Linked DNA regions of Arabidopsis thaliana. The protein of the gene in region 2 interacts with the protein of the main gene of each other region in a biochemical or structural test. Each region holds a gene or a part of one and is shown on either strand. Other genes may lie near its edges. The genes, in order: FHY3, HY5, FHY1 and BZR1.

Evidence for each region.
Region 1: the proteins of HY5 (region 2) and FHY3 form a complex in vitro, tested with the Arabidopsis thaliana proteins (2 studies listed by BioGRID).
Region 3: the proteins of HY5 (region 2) and FHY1 form a complex in vitro, tested with the Arabidopsis thaliana proteins (one study listed by BioGRID).
Region 4: the proteins of HY5 (region 2) and BZR1 form a complex in vitro, tested with the Arabidopsis thaliana proteins (one study listed by BioGRID).

The regions. Positions count from the first base shown.
Region 1 is NC_003074.8:7,821,446-7,827,772, reverse strand, and holds FHY3 (far-red elongated hypocotyls 3), read left to right. Parts: upstream 1-1,576; 5' UTR 1,577-1,993; intron 1,994-2,317; 5' UTR 2,318-2,358; coding exon 2,359-4,512; intron 4,513-4,616; coding exon 4,617-4,673; intron 4,674-4,757; coding exon 4,758-4,826; intron 4,827-4,900; coding exon 4,901-4,969; intron 4,970-5,065; coding exon 5,066-5,134; intron 5,135-5,227; coding exon 5,228-5,272; intron 5,273-5,357; coding exon 5,358-5,414; 3' UTR 5,415-5,776; downstream 5,777-6,327. Other genes in the region: AT3G22180 (DHHC-type zinc finger family protein), read right to left, coding at 1-160, 308-421, 539-583.
Region 2 is NC_003076.8:3,592,835-3,596,998, forward strand, and holds HY5 (Basic-leucine zipper (bZIP) transcription factor family protein), read right to left. Parts: upstream 2,170-4,164; 5' UTR 1,967-2,169; coding exon 1,870-1,966; intron 1,640-1,869; coding exon 1,456-1,639; intron 1,346-1,455; coding exon 1,084-1,345; 3' UTR 961-1,083; intron 818-960; coding exon of another isoform or gene 749-817; 3' UTR 527-748; downstream 1-526. Other genes in the region: OCP3 (overexpressor of cationic peroxidase 3), read right to left, coding at 2,723-2,851, 2,943-3,260, 3,438-3,815, 4,003-4,164.
Region 3 is NC_003071.7:15,800,885-15,804,744, forward strand, and holds FHY1 (far-red elongated hypocotyl 1), read right to left. Parts: upstream 1,910-3,860; 5' UTR 1,813-1,909; coding exon 1,760-1,812; intron 1,439-1,759; coding exon 963-1,438; coding exon of another isoform or gene 937-962; exon of another isoform or gene 885-936; coding exon 805-884; 3' UTR 534-804; downstream 1-533. Other genes in the region: AT2G37680 (glucose-induced degradation-like protein), read right to left, coding at 2,616-2,694, 2,769-2,896, 2,993-3,055, 3,128-3,182, 3,268-3,341, 3,434-3,577. UniProt on the Arabidopsis thaliana protein: Key regulator of far red / red (FR/R) spectrum-specific responses essential for the adaption to changing light conditions (e.g. de-etiolation), essentially by regulating PHYA shuttling from the cytoplasm to the nucleus and by directly regulating the expression of some target genes, depending on light conditions and phosphorylation status.
Region 4 is NC_003070.9:28,183,996-28,188,630, forward strand, and holds BZR1 (Brassinosteroid signaling positive regulator (BZR1) family protein), read left to right. Parts: upstream 1-1,508; 5' UTR 1,509-1,713; coding exon 1,714-1,980; intron 1,981-2,324; coding exon 2,325-3,068; 3' UTR 3,069-3,150; exon of another isoform or gene 3,151-3,415; intron 3,416-3,451; exon of another isoform or gene 3,452-3,651; coding exon of another isoform or gene 3,652-3,972; 3' UTR 3,973-4,051; downstream 4,052-4,635. Other genes in the region: AT1G75090 (DNA glycosylase superfamily protein), read right to left, coding at 3,652-3,972, 4,052-4,193, 4,272-4,413.

The DNA.
Region 1 (6,327 bases), on a different chromosome or scaffold from region 2:
AAGGAGAAGCCTGCAACTGACTACCAGTTTCATCATAATTCCTTGATAAGCCACGAACCATGCCATCTCCATTCACGCCTGTATCAAATATCGACATGATTCTCGGATCCGCAGGATTGATTGCAGTACACCGAACATACAAAACAAACACAAGAATAGCCTGCAAAAACACACACGATACATAAAGGAACCTATCAGATAAGATCAATGCCATAAACTACACAGCTGTGGAATCCAAAACTCGTTATGAATTTGCAAAATTGATTCTGATCATAAACACTACTAGCTTGAGAAGCATTAAACATACCACGGGAGAGTAAACACCGATCAAAACGTATTCCCAAATACGACCTCCAACAAAAGGAGCGAAGAAAGCATAGAAAGCGACCACCAACAAGCAAAACACCGTAATTGCAATCACCTGAGAAGAAAAATACACAGAACCCAATTGAAATCACAGCCATTGGTGACTTTAGATTGAGCAGATTCATGAAAAATTGAAGCTTTGGCTATAGAGAAAGGTTACATTCGATTTTACCTGAAGAGTGTGAGCGGGAAGTTGCCAACCGTGTTTCCTCACCATACCTTCTTCTCCAACAACAATAAGCAAAGATAAACAAACTCTAATTTTCCGACAACGTCACCGTCACGTTGCCGTTCGCCACCGCCGGAGCGATTAAGTGAAGAGTGTTGTTGCTCGTTGAAAAGGGAAAGGGACTGAGAAAATATCGTCTCTCTCTGTTACTGTGGCAGGTTTAGTCTTAATTAAGTCCAAATGGTTGACCCAACTTTTACATTAGTGGATAATTAATTATAAATAATTTTGGTATTATAAATAATTTTGGCATAATTATAATTAAATTTCAGGATATTGGCTGGCTTTTTGTCAAAAAATATATGCTGTATTAAATTAAATCATGTCGGAAATAGTAAATTACCAACTGGCTATTGGCTATTGATTATGATATTTTATGAAATTTATTTTGAATTCATAAAATATTTCCAAAAATGGTATTTATTTTATTGTAGCTAATATGTAAAAAAAAGTTAGGAAATAATTTTTTTTTTACCAAACTTTTTAACATTAGTGGGACTAATTATAACTATGGTTTTTAAGACTGAGCTAATCTATATGTACAAAATTAAAAAGAACAGTGACTCATGCTAATGAGTGGCTATTGATTTATTTATTTTTTTGGACGGCTATTGATCTTTTTATTTTGGATCAAATATAATAAATTAATCCAATTCTGAAATAGTCATACCAATTGGCTCTTGGCTATTGAAAGTTGGTAAAAGCATTTACTAATATATATATATATATATAGTCCAAATTCAAAACTGATAGTTTGTAAATAACAAAAAAATATTTTGAATAGTTTACTATGATTTTTTTTTGTAATTCACCGTAATGTTTCAGTTTTCACCATAGTAAATACTTAGAAATACAAAATAAAATAATTCAAACAAGTCTTAGTCTTAGAGTGGACCAAACAAATTTTAAAAGCCTAAACAAGTCTACTCTTATAGATGTAAGTAAATCTCATCATTCCCATTATTCACGCTTCCCTCCAATTTTTGTTTTGGCATGCGCGTTGCACAAAATTTCAAACAAAAACAGTTTTTTTTTTTCTTTCTAATTTTATTTTATTAATAACATAAATAAATGGATAGAGATATTATTATTATCAAAAAACATGGTGATGCGTTTAGACAGAGAGAAGAAGAAGAAGAAACCCTAGACACCAAAAGAACGAATCGTGGATCTTCCGCCCACTCGCTTCCTCAGATCGCGTGAACACCACTCACCAATTTTTCTTCTCTTTCTCTCTTCTTCTTCTCTATCTCCTTTTCGCAGATCGATACCCCAACTCGCACCCGATTGGCGCGTGTTGTCTTCTTCTTCTTCCTCCTCTCGACGACGAAGAGATTAAAAAGAGACGGCCTTTTCTCAGTTTCTGCTCCGATTCGTATATCTTCTGTTTCGTACGAGGTAAAGTTTTCATTTTTATTTTTTGTTTTTGTTTTATAGTGATAACCAACACAAATGATTGGGTTATACAGTAGTTTTGATCAGCTTCGTTTTAGGAATTGGATTTGAGGATTTCGTTTATGTGATGAAATACCCACTAAGAATTTAGCTGCAAGTTGCTTTTTTCTGCAATTGTAAGGGCAAAATGTGTATACTTTCTCGATTTATCATCATAGAAAGATTGAATTTTGATGGGTTTCTCTGGTTTGTTACATCTTTTGTGTGTGACTTTAGTATACATTTTGACCTAGATATATGTACTGAGACCTAGATTTTGTCTTGCAGTGTTGTAAGACGTTTGTTTTGCCTGAGACTATAGGTTTGTCATGGATATAGATCTTCGACTACATTCAGGTGACCTTTGCAAAGGAGATGATGAGGATAGAGGACTTGATAATGTGTTACACAATGAAGAAGATATGGATATTGGCAAAATTGAGGATGTTTCTGTTGAGGTTAATACTGATGACAGTGTAGGCATGGGTGTTCCAACTGGGGAGTTGGTTGAGTACACTGAGGGTATGAATCTTGAACCTCTTAATGGTATGGAGTTTGAGTCACACGGTGAAGCGTATTCGTTTTACCAGGAGTATTCTCGAGCTATGGGGTTTAACACTGCGATACAGAACAGTCGTAGATCGAAAACTACAAGAGAGTTTATTGATGCGAAGTTTGCTTGCTCTAGGTATGGTACTAAAAGAGAATATGACAAATCTTTTAATCGGCCACGAGCTAGACAAAGTAAGCAAGATCCAGAGAATATGGCTGGTAGGAGAACATGTGCGAAAACCGATTGCAAAGCTAGTATGCATGTTAAGAGAAGGCCGGATGGGAAATGGGTAATTCACAGCTTTGTGAGGGAGCATAATCATGAGCTTTTACCTGCACAAGCTGTGAGTGAACAGACCAGAAAGATATATGCTGCAATGGCTAAGCAGTTTGCTGAGTACAAAACTGTTATAAGTCTAAAAAGCGATTCGAAAAGTTCTTTTGAAAAAGGTCGGACTTTATCAGTGGAAACAGGGGATTTCAAAATCCTGCTTGACTTCTTGTCACGGATGCAATCCTTGAATTCCAACTTCTTTTATGCAGTAGATCTGGGCGATGATCAGCGAGTGAAGAATGTATTTTGGGTAGATGCAAAGAGCAGGCATAACTATGGCAGTTTTTGTGATGTTGTTTCTCTAGACACCACCTACGTAAGAAACAAGTACAAGATGCCACTTGCTATTTTTGTTGGAGTGAACCAGCACTACCAGTATATGGTCCTTGGGTGCGCCTTAATATCCGATGAGAGTGCAGCAACATATTCTTGGTTAATGGAGACCTGGCTGAGAGCAATCGGTGGACAAGCTCCAAAGGTTTTGATCACTGAGCTAGACGTTGTAATGAACTCCATTGTTCCCGAAATCTTCCCCAATACACGGCATTGCCTTTTTCTTTGGCATGTATTGATGAAGGTTTCTGAGAATCTTGGTCAAGTTGTTAAGCAACATGATAATTTTATGCCTAAGTTTGAGAAGTGCATCTATAAATCAGGGAAAGATGAAGACTTTGCGAGAAAATGGTATAAGAATCTTGCTAGATTCGGCCTCAAAGATGATCAATGGATGATTTCTTTATATGAAGACCGCAAGAAATGGGCACCAACCTACATGACTGATGTTCTTTTGGCTGGGATGTCTACATCTCAACGAGCTGATAGTATTAATGCTTTCTTCGACAAGTATATGCATAAGAAGACTAGTGTACAAGAATTTGTAAAGGTATATGATACAGTTTTGCAAGATAGATGTGAAGAAGAAGCCAAAGCTGATTCTGAAATGTGGAACAAGCAGCCAGCAATGAAGTCTCCATCGCCATTTGAGAAGAGTGTTTCTGAAGTCTATACTCCTGCAGTTTTCAAAAAGTTCCAGATTGAAGTTTTGGGTGCGATTGCGTGTAGTCCTAGGGAGGAGAACCGAGATGCCACATGTTCTACTTTTAGAGTGCAGGATTTTGAAAACAACCAAGACTTCATGGTAACATGGAACCAAACAAAGGCTGAAGTCTCTTGCATCTGTCGGTTATTTGAGTATAAAGGGTATCTCTGCAGACACACTCTTAATGTTCTTCAGTGTTGTCATCTTTCTTCCATCCCCTCGCAGTACATATTGAAGCGGTGGACAAAAGATGCAAAAAGCCGGCATTTTTCAGGAGAACCTCAGCAGTTGCAGACTAGGCTGCTGCGGTATAACGATTTGTGCGAACGAGCATTAAAGCTGAATGAAGAGGCATCCCTCTCTCAAGAGAGTTACAATATTGCATTCCTTGCTATTGAAGGAGCTATAGGAAACTGTGCTGGTATTAATACTTCCGGCAGAAGTCTTCCAGATGTTGTAACGTCACCAACTCAAGGTCTGATTTCTGTGGAGGAGGACAACCATAGCAGAAGTGCAGGCAAAACCAGCAAGAAAAAGAATCCAACTAAGAAAAGAAAAGTAACTTACTTGTTTACGATCTCTCTGTGCAGACAGCTTATGGATTTTGTTCGCTTTGCGCTTTTATGCTTTGCAAATTTGATGATACCAAATACTAATTTCAGGTGAACCCAGAGCAGGATGTTATGCCAGTTGCAGCGCCAGAAAGCTTGCAACAGATGGTCTGTCTTTGTTGACATGTCGTGGCAAGCCTCTTTTAAACACAAGTCGCCTAAGTATGTCATATCTGAATTTTGTAATTGCAGGATAAGCTGAGCCCAAGGACGGTTGGCATTGAAAGCTATTATGGAACACAGCAGAGCGTACAAGGAATGGTAATTAAGCACAACATACGTTCATATTATTATCTAGATACGTATGTAATCTGTTTTGATATGTGTTTTTACAGGTCCAGCTGAACTTAATGGGGCCAACTCGCGATAATTTCTATGGGAATCAACAAACAATGCAAGGATTGGTATGAAATCGACCATGACATGTGTATAAGTAGCTTCTGCTGTTTTCTATTTCATTAACTTTGGATAAAAAAACAATTCCGGCTGGTTTTCTGTAGCGACAGTTGAACTCGATAGCACCAAGCTACGACAGTTACTACGGTCCTCAGCAAGGCATCCATGGACAGGTACCTACATACCTATTCTCAATGCTTTCATAAGTTTTGTCAATCTTGTAACAAGACTGCCAAAAAAGTAAAATCTTACTTTGTTCTTTCTAGGGAGTAGATTTCTTCAGGCCTGCCAATTTTTCTTACGACATCCGGGTAACTATTGCAGTTGTAATAAAAGATCTTTCTTTTTCCTGTTTGTATCAATTGGTCATCTTAGTTCATGGTGATTTCTGTGCAGGATGATCCTAATGTGAGGACTACGCAGTTGCATGAGGACGCGTCTAGACACTCGTAAACAAAACTATAAGTTAACCACGAATCAAATCTTAAGAGTCGTCAGTCTGTGGATGAAAGATTCAAATCTCGGAGAACAAAAGCCAACGAGCACTAGGACGCGGTTAGGTTTGGAACAGAACATGAGCCAAAGCTCTGTTTTATCTTCTCAAGTGTTAAAAATAGGATGTTGTATTGTTTCGCCTTTATTCTCAGAGATTCGATTCTGTTAATATTGTTTGTATTAGTTCTGATGATCATATGTTTGATCATTTGACTGTTCGATTTAAGAGGTGAAGAAACAGTGTTACAAGAATATTCTCTATTTGTAAACTCTTGTTAATTCTCTTGATTAGGTTTCTCAAATTTGTATCTTGTGATTAATCTTGCCCAAATTACAAACAAAATTGTGGTATGCTATTGGCGGTTTGAATCTTGTTGAAGAGAGGAGAGAGGGTTACATAGTATAAATATAAAATTCTTTAAAATCAGAGAAGGATCATAAATTTATTATTATTATTTTTGAGTAATCATAAACAATTTTTCTCTTCTTTTGGCAAATAGAGCTTTTAGGCAAATTATTAAAATGTGGCCTAACATTCTATTTTGTATAGAAGAAATTATTTAAATACTGTTATTAAAAAAAACATTAATGAATAAATACGATTTAGTAATTTAATGTAAAAAAACAAACAAAAATTTCTATAAATGTTAAAGAGATGAATTTTGTTTTCAAAATAAAGTCCTAAAACACATTAAAAATGTGATATATGTAGAAAAAAAATGTGGCGTTTTATTTGATTATTTTTTAGTGGCCTAAGGAAAATGCTTTTTTTCTTACATATCAAGCAAGACTCTCTTGCAATTGAGACTCATTTTTCGTTTATTGTTCCAAAAAAATTCTGGTCACATGTAAAAACTTATTCTAATTTCTA
Region 2 (4,164 bases):
TAGAATCTGAGTATCCTCAAAAGCATGAGAAATAATGTCAAACAATCCATAGTACACTAGCAACTAGCAATAGATGAAGATGAGATCCACGAAAAATCTAAAATAGAAAACAAAGAATCAGAAAGCATACAACAGGTAAAGAAATGTACGATTTTGTCCATGAAATTCGGTTGTGGCAACCCGATTCTAAGAAGGGAGCAGCAAGTTCAAGGTAGCAGTGACAGAAAACAATGTCTGGATTCCATGGATTTTAGAAAAAGGAAAGCAAAAGTGTAAGAAAACACTTACATGATTGCTCATCTCTCGAGCTTGACAAGCTTTGGCTGTAAAAGATCGACCCTACCCTCTTTGTCCGATTTCCGCATAATATGATCAACGGCATCTTCGTTTACAAATCCATGGCGACTTGTCTGTAAGAAATCGGGAGGGATAGGGGCAAAAAGGAAAAAAAAAAGAGTAAAGATTCCACTATCCCAGAATTTGTTTGGGACTTTGAACTGCGGGAATCGAAAACGCAACCTTTCTACTACAGTGTCACAATGTCATATCATAGAACAAAAATTAGCTTATTTTTGTTATAAAACAACATTATGTTTCAATTAAGAGAAATCTAAGACTACAATAAGAGAACTTGGTCTACAATTGCAATATTAGCTCTCACATCCCATATAATTTTAACATGATAATTATTGATACAATTCTCTGTAAATTTTATCCACAAAAATATAACACAAGAAGAAGAAGGAGATCAAAGGCTTGCATCAGCATTAGAACCACCACCACCTCCTCTCTTGTTTCCTGTTGTGTTCTTCAGAATCTACACCACATAAAAAACATAACAACTCAAAAGACTTTATTACCACACACACACATAGAGATCCAACTTTGCAATCTCATCTTCTCCATTCATATAGAACAAAATGAGTGAGCATTTCAAGAACCATTGAAGAATTTACATGCCTTTTGAGAGAATATGCGAGTGAATGACCATTTCAAGAACCTACATGCCTTCTGAGAATTAATCTAAAGCTTAAGTTAGCTTCTTAGATCCTTTTAACTAACTAAACTAATTATTGGTCAATCCTAGACTCGTAAATGTGATAAACCAGTACTGTGATATATCAAAAAACAAATGGCAAAAGCATTGACGTTGCAGGTTAAGTCAACAGTAAGATCGACAAAACGTACATGTCTAAGCATCTGGTTCTCGTTCTGAAGAGTAGAGAGTCGCTCTTCAAGTTCAGAGTTTTTGTTCTCCAAGTCTTTCACTCTGTTTTCCAACTCGCTCAAGTAAGCCTTTTTCCTCTCTCTTGCTTGCTGAGCTGAAACTCTGTTCCTCAACAACCTTTTCACCACAAAATTACCAAACAACCCCATCACGCAACCGTTATTTAACATAATCACCTTCCATATAAAGGGTAAAAATGTAAATTCAATGAATAGAGAAAAAGACACCTCTTCAGCCGCTTGTTCTCTTTCTCCGCCGGTGTCCTCCCTCGCTTCCTTTGACTTTCTCCGACAGTCGCCTGTGTCCGCTCCTGACCGGTCGCCGATCCAGATTCTCTACCGGAAGTTTCTTTTCCGACAGCTTCTCCTCCAAACTCCGGCACTCGCCGTATCTCCTCATCGCTTTCAATTCCTTTAAAACATAAAAGAGACTTTAGACGAAAAGTTTCAAACTTTTTAAATACAATAAAAAATTGCAGATCTTCTGGGGGAGACTAAAAGTTGTGAATCTAGATGTGAATCAATGGTGATACAAAATCTAGATGTGAATTTACTAGATATCCAATGCATGAGAATGAAAATCAATGAGATCACTCGTTGGGAGAAGATATGAAAATAAAACAATCGACAATTTTTGTTTACCTTCTTTGATCTCCAAATGTGGAGCAGAGCTTGATGACCTCTCGCTGCTTGATGGTAAAGAGCTTGCAGCTAAAGAGCTAGTCGCTTGTTCCTGCATTTTTCTTACTCTTTGAAGATCGATCAGGCGAGAGAGAGAGGGAAAGATTTGTTGTCTTAGTAGCGAAGCTGGTGAAAAGGATAAAGAGGAAAAGAGCGGGACTTGGGATTTACAGAAGAACTTGGAAAGAATCTAATTGCGAGACATTTTGGGAAGGAATAGATTACTCTGGCTACCGCCGTCAGATCTCTGAAGAATCGAACGGATATCGAGAGTGAATCGTGGAGAAAGGTGAGCCTTGAGGAAATACAAGGATCCAAAGGCAATTGAGATTGGAACGTGGGTGGATTTTAGCCGTTAGATCTGGTTAGCATCTTACGGTGAATAATGGATAGGGGAGCTAATTGGGTGGGCCCCATTCCTGTCCTTGGACAGAAAAGTTTGGTCTGAGTTCTTTCATTCTGTCACATGGCCCACGCCTAGGGCAGTGCTTTCAAAAGTGTCGTGAAAGTAATTTATTTTATTTTTGGTGATTTGTTTTTGTCATGCATTAAAATTAAACTTTATAGCCGCCATAAACCAAACAAAGTTGAAACGGTTTTCTACAAGACACAATCTCAGCAAGGAAATAACTAAAAACTGAATACAAGATATCCTAAAATTTCATAGTCCAACATATCCAGCCACACCATTGGACAGAATCTACTACTATAAACACTCCTCGTATCACCAAAAAAACTTGTCCTTGACGACAATGTTGATGAGTTTCTGAGAATCAAGTATACAAATCATTGCCATCTCAACGTTAACATTAGATCAAACCGGAGCTTGATATGGAGCTCGCTTATCTGGAACTCCGTCTTCTGCTCTTTTATCTTCGAACCACTTCAAAACTCGCTTCCTTGGAAGATTGGTCACTTGAACAATGCTGCTAACCACAGCATTCTATTCACAGCATCATCAAACATGATCATATGTGAGATAGAGCATTCAAGTAACATAGAAATTGATTCAAATGTAAAAGGAGAATCCTTACAGTGGGTCGTTTTGATCTTCTGTAAACTTTCTCTAGCGTTTCAATGTGAGCTTTCTTCACTCTTTTCTGAGCAGACCATCTCTGTTGCATCACATGAACTGCTTCATCTTTTACTTTTTCCTTAGGTTCGACCACAACATCTTCAGCTGATAATGATTCCACAGGACTTGGATCAGGTGAGGAGTTCTCAGGTGCTGCTACTGGCGGTTTTTCATCTGGTAGTGTAGCACTTAGCATTAGCAGCTTTGGAGGCGGGTCACGAAGCAATTCAAGAACATAAGCCCTGTCAAGACAAACCTCAGCTGCCAGATTTTTAATCTACAGATCACAACAAAACCATCCGTTATCAATTATGCATTTGAAAACCAGAGAACTACTTGTTCTTTGTCAACTCTTAAACAATTCGTAAGCAAAATCTCCAAAGCAGACACTAACTCAAGCACTATGCTTTACACAATGTATTCAACATCACTTCAACACTGAACTAAAACTTACACTAGTTTTACGACGCCCAGCTTTCAATGCATAAGCCAGTCTTTTAAGCTGCCAATTCTTCAGCTTAGTCGGTCTTTCATCTTCTTCGCTGTCATCATCATCATCATCATTATCATCATCATCATTATCATCATCATCATTATCAACATCAACATCAACATCACCAGTGACTGAACCAAACAAGTCGATGTCATCAACATCGTCACCAACACCCAATGCTCGAGCTAACTCATCGGCTAATGCCTCTAACTCTTCCTCACTTATCTCCTCATCATCCGAGTTATCATTCTTCAAATCTTCTTCTAAAAGATTAAACAATGCCTCAAATGGATCCTCCTCCTCCTCACCTCCTCCATTATCAGCTCCATCCAAACTTTTCTGCCACAAACCATGAAATCAAAGGCTGATACAAAATCAAAAAGAGCCAAAGTCTAATTCGAGGATTCACCAATTCTAACCGATAATAGCTCACTTAGTTAGTGTATCCAAATTCTAGTCAAATTCGGCGAAAGCAGCAGGTAAGAGCAATTGCGAACATAAATCATTCTCATTCTGATTTTCTTACCTTTTTGTTTTTCTTCGGAGACGAAGAAGACGAAGACACGAATCCTTTTCGATTCTTGCCACGAGCAAAAACAAGTACAGACCGAGACGGATTGAGAATTGGAAGAGATAGACCACAAGGACTAGCGTTCCGATTCCGAAACAGAACTCTGTTGACGGATAA
Region 3 (3,860 bases), on a different chromosome or scaffold from region 2:
CGACTTTACGTGTTAAAGATACTTACATAAAATTACTAAGGATAACTATTTTTAAAGTTTGGTGTTAATTTCTTTTTAATCAACAATTTTTTGTTTTTGTTTTTTTTTGCTATTTTTATAGCGAATTTAAAACTACTAGACATTGACCAAGAAGACTGATAATGCGAGGGAACCACATTCTAGCAAATCTTGAGTCTTGACCATCATGCCAAAATGTTTTACTAGGAAGAATATCAATAAGCTATCATCTTTTTCTTTATTAAATCAGTTTAGATTTTACATTAGAAAGGAACAAGTTGAATATTAACAAGACTTTTGACCATAATAAGAAAAAGTTATGAATTTTTGTATTATGTTCAGAAGAGAGTGTATTGGAGATAATTTGGAGAGAGCAGATTGAATATAGGTGACCAACCAAAAAAAGAAGAAGATATCATCTGAACAAACTTATTAAAGAACATTGACTCTCATTTCTCAGTTAAGTTGGTACTGAAATACATCAGGGATACTCTTGAACACAAGATTGGTTCATATGAAGGATCAGAGTGTCATAATCATCTCAGAATTTTTTTATACTAACTTTTATTTCTGATCCAGGCAGAACAAGATATATAAGCAAGATTAGTTTTGCAAGCTAATAAAAATCTTAAAAGTTGAAGACTAGAGTTGCAAACATTTCAAAGAAGCTCTCTAATCACTTTGAATTGAACGTTTTTTTAAGGTTGACAAGAATCAAAACAGAACGAGTACAGTTCTATGTACATACATCTCTTCATATATGTTTTGAGTCTCAACATCATTTTGTTACAGCATTAGCGTTGAGAAGTATTGTTCAAATTCTTGATCAATGGTAGGCTTCTTTGTCTCATGTAGAGTAGAATCATCTGTACACATGAAACCAAGTTAGTGAATCCCCGGTTCATTGAATCAATACGGTCAAACCAAAATCCGGTTTTCTTTACCTTGGTTAACAGTCCATCTTCCAGAGGACAGAACAAACTTAGCAGCATTACTACTACATCCTTTAGCATCTTCCTCTTCTTCTTCTTGTTCATCGAGATAGAGAATGTTTTCAATGACTTTCTCTGAAAAATCCTCTAAGTTCTGAGTCCCATAGATGTAATCTAGATGGCTTTCGAAAGAGATCATCTTGTCTTCACCGCATGATCCAGATGATTCCTCTTTCATCTCTATATCATTGTTACACTCCATAGAAGTTGTTGAGTTCACATAAGAAGACATTGAATACTCTGTATCAATCTCCGAGTTACCATTTGTATTCTCTGAACAAGCAACATTGGCAAAACAAGTGTGTTTTGACAGAGGTAATAACGATAACTCATCAGATTGATCTGTCTGAAATTTCCTCTTCTTGCTCACCTCAACTTCTTCCATTTTCAACACATTTTTACTACTACTTATGATCATGTGATGGAAACTGCAAAAAAAAAGAACAACACATATTAAGATAGTGGATGGATCTTAATCACCAAATATATGAAATTGACTTTATTAATCTTGAACTTAATAAGGGTTTAGGAAAGAATAACAGGAAAACTTTCTTAATCTCAACGATTAAATAAGCTAAAATCAAGATAAAACTTCAATCATCCTCTGCAGCTATGATTTTTGGTCAACCATTGACATGAATACATACATAATCAGTCAATCCTCTGTATCTTAAAGAAACTGAGAAGAAGCATAATAAGAAATTTGATCTCTAATGATAATATATAGGAATAGATTGAGAAACTGAAACCTGTTAATCTCAGATGGCTTCTCGTTGTTGTTATCCACTTCCACTTCAGGCATAGATCGCAGAGAGAGAGAGAGAGATAGAGAGAGTTCAAAGATAATTGTTTTTCTTATTACTCTTTTAAAAAATGCTCTTTCCACTTTCAGAGGGTCTGAAAATCTGGAAACTGCGTAACTTAAAATACATAAATTAAGCATCAAGTGTACGACGCGCTACGTTGGAGCGTGTATTACACGAAACATTTGAATCCGTTGATCTCGTCGACATGGTGTTTGATTTGGCGCGTGAAAAGAGTCTACGTGTTGGCGAGGTGACCCATCTTCTTACACGGGACCGTTTTTTATTTTTATCTTTCGCTCCATACGATTTTGCAATCTTTTTTACTATTGTCCCATAACGATTTTATGGGCTTTTGGATGAGGATGTATAAATATTTATCAATTTTTCCCTTACATAGGTATAAATATTCATTATCTTACAAAGATAATAGTTTATAAATTTTATATCATTATTTAAAGAAAATAATATGATGTAGAACTGTCTTTTTAAATTTCTATTAAAAACTTAATTTTAGAAGAATTTGGATTTTTTTTACAAAAATTTTTAGAAAAACTTCTCAACTATTTGGTAATTATTTTTTTGGACAATTTGTTCTTTTTCCAGATAAACTATTAGCTTGGTACCATAATGACAAAATAGTATTTTTAGTTCTTTACTTGGTCTGGTCTACTAGCTAAGCAAAAAAATATCTTACTAATAATTTATAATAATTGACACGTCATAATGTACTGGATCACGTGCATCGCATGTTTAGACGAGAGTATCATATGGCGCTGTCTGATGATTTTGGTAGCATTCATCATTGCAACTCGTAAGAAGAAAAGCTGAAACCAGATCTTCCTTCGTTAACTGTTTTCAGCTCCAGCTTCTGAAACGGACTGTCCAGAAACAAAATATCATCAGGTTTTATCTCAAACAACAACAGATTATATAGTTTGTATCTTGGACTAACCTGCTGTTTGGATCATAATAGAAACCGCTGATGGAACCATCGCTGCAGGAGAAGCATACGTAGTAAAATCCAGCTATTGTTAGTCCACAATCTGTGCCAACGTTTACAAAGTATTGCTCTTTCCATCTCTGCACCACCACAAAAATAAACCCGAGTTGCAGGAATTATGGAATACTTGAGAGAAAATGATGATTGGATTCGATAGGAAAAACTGAGAGTTATACCATAAATATATAAGGATAATTGTTAAGATCCAATTGCCTGCCACCATCAGATTCAACTTGTCCCTGCAGTATTAAGTCCAGAACGTTGCTTAGGAGATGTTACTGACTATACAAACAATGTTACTCGAGTGTTACCTGAAGAGGCGAAAAAGACGGGAACTTTGACCAATGTCTCATATCATCTTCCCTCCTGTGACAAACAAACTTTCAAAAATTTATTCACGATAAGAAATCATCAGTTTCAAATCTACAAGAATATAGGAATTGGGACATACGTTGCTTCCCATTTTCCGGTGTAAAAGGTATAATTCTTTCCATCAACGATTTCCCCTTCCCAGAATGTTATGACCTGACACTCACAGAATCAAGAATCGTGTCCCCTATTAGAAATTCAAGGGGAAGCAATATGAAGAAAAAATGAGTAAGAGTGTAAGGGCTTACAGGAGTGTCTGCCATGGGAACGTTTAGAGCTTCCATGGTGCCACAAAGATAACCATGTTCAAGGTCAATACCCTGTATCTGGACGTTGACTCTCCAAGCTTCCTCCTTCTGTTGATTAGAGACATTTTGCGTACCAGAAAATGCCTGCAGCACAGCATAAAAACATGTGTGTTCCTCATCTTTAGGTTCATTATGAATAAACAATCTCTTTGAGCCAATGAATGTTATACAATCCCAACTAGATACAAATGCACTTGAATTAAGCATACATGTCAACATGAAAAAGATATGAAGCCAATCAAAGCAGACAAGGCCAACTTCTAATTGGTATAACAAAAATCAGCATTACTAGAGAATCGTTATGCAACCAGAACACTTGAACAAGTTGCAGATCTAATGGGAAGAAAGTAACTAGACCCATGATGTT
Region 4 (4,635 bases), on a different chromosome or scaffold from region 2:
CGACGTGAATATGAATGGTTGACTGGGTTTTTTCAAAATAAAAAAAAAGTCAGGAGTTATGGGGCCCATGCATGCGTAAGTTACGATTATACCCCTATTGTTTATTTGTTTTCGTTCCTCTCCAATGTAATTTGAATTTGAAATCACGCCTCTATTAAATATGTCATCGTATAATGTCCATATTGAACATTTAACTAAACTAAAACAATGTTCATGGAGTGATTCTTAAGCCAACATTTTTTCTTGTTCAAGACATAGCATTTTGTAAGTTTGATGGTTTAAAGTAATGTACTTATTGTCCAAAACGAGTTAGCTAGGTAACATGGAGTTAATCGGAAAAACAGAACATATTTCCAAAAAAAACATACTTAACACATAATCTACTTATTATCACAAGTAGGTTACTAGTGCCAAACCAAAGAAGAAAACCCCTAAATTCCTTTTAATGCTAGAAACGAAAGCTGGTATTAAGATTTAACTGATGATTTAAAACGTATCACCAATAATTAACACATAATCGCTCGATTAGCAACAAAGTCGTTGTAGTATAGTGGTAAGTATTCCCGCCTGTCACGCGGGTGACCCGGGTTCGATCCCCGGCAACGGCGATTACTTTAGTTTTGCCTAATTCATCGAACCCTCTGATTCATTCCAAATGTTTCCCAACTCGCGTTGATGGTTCGGGTTCCTCTGCTTTTAAGACATTAGTTACATGCTCCTGCACTTTCTACAAAATAAACGTCATAATCCAAAAATATTACATGATCATACATCATATATGCCGCCGAACCTTGTTATGGGACAAACTCGTAAACCCCTTTTTCCTTTTATGTTCAATGAACTATACAAGTTTTGGTTATGAATACATAAATAATGATGGACCCAGCAATTAATCCAAAATTTGGATATTAGATACTAAAGCTTAAAATCAACATGTAACCAAACTAAATACTTTATAGAACATAGTAAATGGTATTCACCAATCTTTATATCATTTGTAAGGTACGAAGAAGGTAAAAAAAAGAGAGAGCCAGTGTACATACAACTAATCAGGACAAAAGTAGTCAAAATTGTTTCTAAAGTGAGATTTGTATGCAAGAAAAAAGTGATAATTTTTAATTGAATATATCATTATGATGTTAATCACACGGCTTCACTGTATAAAATAAAATTTTAAAAACCAATCAAATGGTGTGTTTTTCGGTCACACAAGTAAGGGACCCACACTGAAGAAACGGTCCCACTGTGTCTCCTCCTTTCTTTTCTCTGTATTATTTGGTCATTACTCATTTTACATACTCACAGAAAAAAAAAAAGATTAGAACATAAACACACGTTACTAAGCGTAGTTATCCTCTGCACCTTAACATACACCTCTTATATTCACCTCACGTAATCTCACCCTTCCAAAACCATGTATTTACACGTGGACGATCGATACACAAGAACAATGATTCTTAATATGAACTCAATGTACTTGAACACACACACGACCCAATTTTTACATTAGATGAAAAAAATATTATTATTTGTTGGAGAAGAAAGAGAGATTCTTCTTCTTCGATTCCAGCGAAGGAAAAGCGTATTCCTCGTGAGCACTAACTTCTCACTCCTCTCTTCTTCTTCTTCATCAGTCTACGTTCACACAATCTTTCACCCACCTATTCAAAGCTCTCTCCGGAAGTTTCGAGGGGTTGGTTGTTGGTTTTCCCGATGACTTCGGATGGAGCTACGTCGACATCAGCAGCTGCAGCTGCGGCGGCGGCAGCAGCGGCGAGGAGGAAGCCGTCGTGGAGAGAAAGGGAGAATAATCGGAGGAGAGAAAGACGGAGAAGAGCTGTAGCTGCGAAGATATACACTGGGCTTAGAGCTCAAGGTGATTATAATTTGCCTAAACATTGTGATAATAATGAAGTCCTTAAAGCTCTTTGTGTTGAAGCTGGTTGGGTTGTTGAAGAAGATGGTACTACTTATCGCAAGGTGAAGACTTTCTCCATTTTTTCCAGATCTGAGCTTGTTTTATTGATGTTTTTGATGTTTGAATCTGAATTCGTTGATTTCAATTGTGGTTAAATGGGTTTGAATCTGAGAATTTGAGGGTTTTCTCAAAGTGAATTTGAATCATCAGAAACTATGGATGGATCTGATTTCTCAAAGTGAATTTATGGGTTTTCTTTCTAATTTTAGAGTTATTATTGGTATGCTAAAGTCTTAATCTTTTATGTATGATACTTGGTCCAAAGTCATTGCATTGTGTTTCTTTTGCTTACCTGTGATTGATTGATGTTTGATTGGTTATTGTTTTGCTTTTGTTGGAGTATCAGGGATGCAAGCCTTTACCTGGTGAGATAGCTGGGACTTCATCTCGAGTAACTCCATATTCATCACAGAACCAGAGCCCTCTTTCATCAGCCTTTCAAAGTCCCATCCCATCTTACCAAGTTAGCCCGTCTTCTTCATCATTCCCGAGTCCTTCTCGCGGTGAACCAAATAACAACATGTCCTCTACATTCTTCCCTTTCCTCAGAAATGGTGGCATTCCTTCTTCTCTTCCTTCCCTCAGAATCTCAAACAGTTGTCCAGTTACCCCACCGGTCTCATCGCCGACTTCTAAGAACCCGAAACCGTTGCCTAACTGGGAATCTATCGCTAAGCAATCCATGGCCATTGCTAAACAATCAATGGCGTCTTTTAATTATCCTTTCTATGCGGTTTCTGCACCTGCTAGTCCGACACATCGCCACCAGTTTCATACCCCGGCTACTATACCTGAATGTGATGAGTCTGACTCTTCCACTGTTGATTCTGGTCATTGGATAAGCTTTCAGAAGTTTGCACAACAACAGCCATTCTCTGCCTCTATGGTGCCAACCTCTCCTACCTTCAATCTTGTGAAACCTGCGCCTCAGCAGATGTCTCCAAATACTGCTGCCTTCCAAGAGATTGGTCAAAGCTCTGAGTTTAAATTTGAGAATAGCCAAGTTAAACCCTGGGAAGGAGAGAGGATACATGATGTGGGTATGGAGGATCTTGAGCTTACACTTGGAAATGGGAAGGCTCGTGGTTGACATAAACAACTAGGCAAACCCAAATGGCATGTCATTGGAATATGAGAAACTAATCCTCTTGAGTATTTTCTTCTTCGTCCAGGTATTTGGATCTTTATGGAATCTCATATGTTCTTCACTTATTATCCAAATATGCTGCCCAAAGCCTTCTCCATGGAAGCATTGGAGTGTTAGAGTGGTTATTCAATTCATGAATTTGGTTTCAAAAGCATTATTTGTAGATAAAAAAATCTTAAGATGTATGATTCTGTTTCCTTACATATGTTACATTAATTAGTGGCTTGAAACTGTCTTGTGTCTTGTCAAATTGCTTAGTCATATATCATTTCTTGAGCCGATTCTGTCTCTTAGCATCAAGATCCAAAATTTGCAAAAACATTTGCTTTTACAAAATGTTAAATTCTTTATTTCCCTGCAATCAATCTTTTGGTCAAACACTAACACATCATCAAATATCTAGTTAGACAAAGCTAGCTAGGATAGTAGCATAATCAATGAACACAGCTAGCTACAAATGGTACATTCCATAACGAATACAAACACTGGTCACTCATCTTCTTAATAGTCCAATCCCTGTTTCTGATCAAACAAGTAATGGAGAATGCAGATCCAGTTTGGTTTCAGTCTCATGGCTTTTTGTTTCTCTCTCAGTCTCAACATTACATTCTTGGTATCTGAAACAAGCTGTGAGATGATCATTAACAATGCCAGAGGCCTGCAAGAAGGAATACATAACAGTAGGACCAACGCAGCGAAACCCTCTCTGCATCATATCTTTGCTAATGTACTCTGCCTTTGGGGACTTAACCGGTACTTGACGACCATATCGATAGCCATTTCTTAATGGCTTGTGGTTCACAAATCTCCAACAATAATTACTGAACGATCCAAATTCCTGCTTGACCTGTTTTCAGATTACAACCAAAGCTATTTCAGTAAACACATAGTATCTACAATTTCATAGCAAAACACACAGTGCCTACCTTGAGAACAGATTTCGCGTTCTCTACAATTGCTCGCAGTTTCTGTTCGGATAGAATTAGACACCCATTAACTCTAAGAGACATCAACCTCTTCTCTGTGAATTGTGCTATAGCTGAAGGATCAAACTCTTCAAAGAGCTTCCTACAAAAAAGAAACCAAAACTTCTGATATCACACCAAACCAAAACACAAAATAGCAAATTCACCGTCCTAAGTTTACCTAAAGTCGTCTCTTCTGCGTAGGATTGAAGGCCAGCTAAACTCAGCCAAAGCTTGTGAGAAGACAAGTAGCTCGAAGAGTTTCTTGTCATCACGAACTGGAACACCCCATTCCTCGTCGTGGAACAAAACATAGATCGGGTCTGTTTGATCAATCACCATTATTATTATTAACTGAAAAACTTACATATCCAATGTCATCAATCATCTTCTACATTTTTTTTTGTCCTTATTTATCAACTACAATACCTAGTTTTTGCTAGGTGCAATTAATGTGTTGTTGACATCTATGAAAACTGATTGTAACCTTTATTAACTTTAACGTATTATCAAAACAAAATTACATTTCGAAAACCATAAAAAGC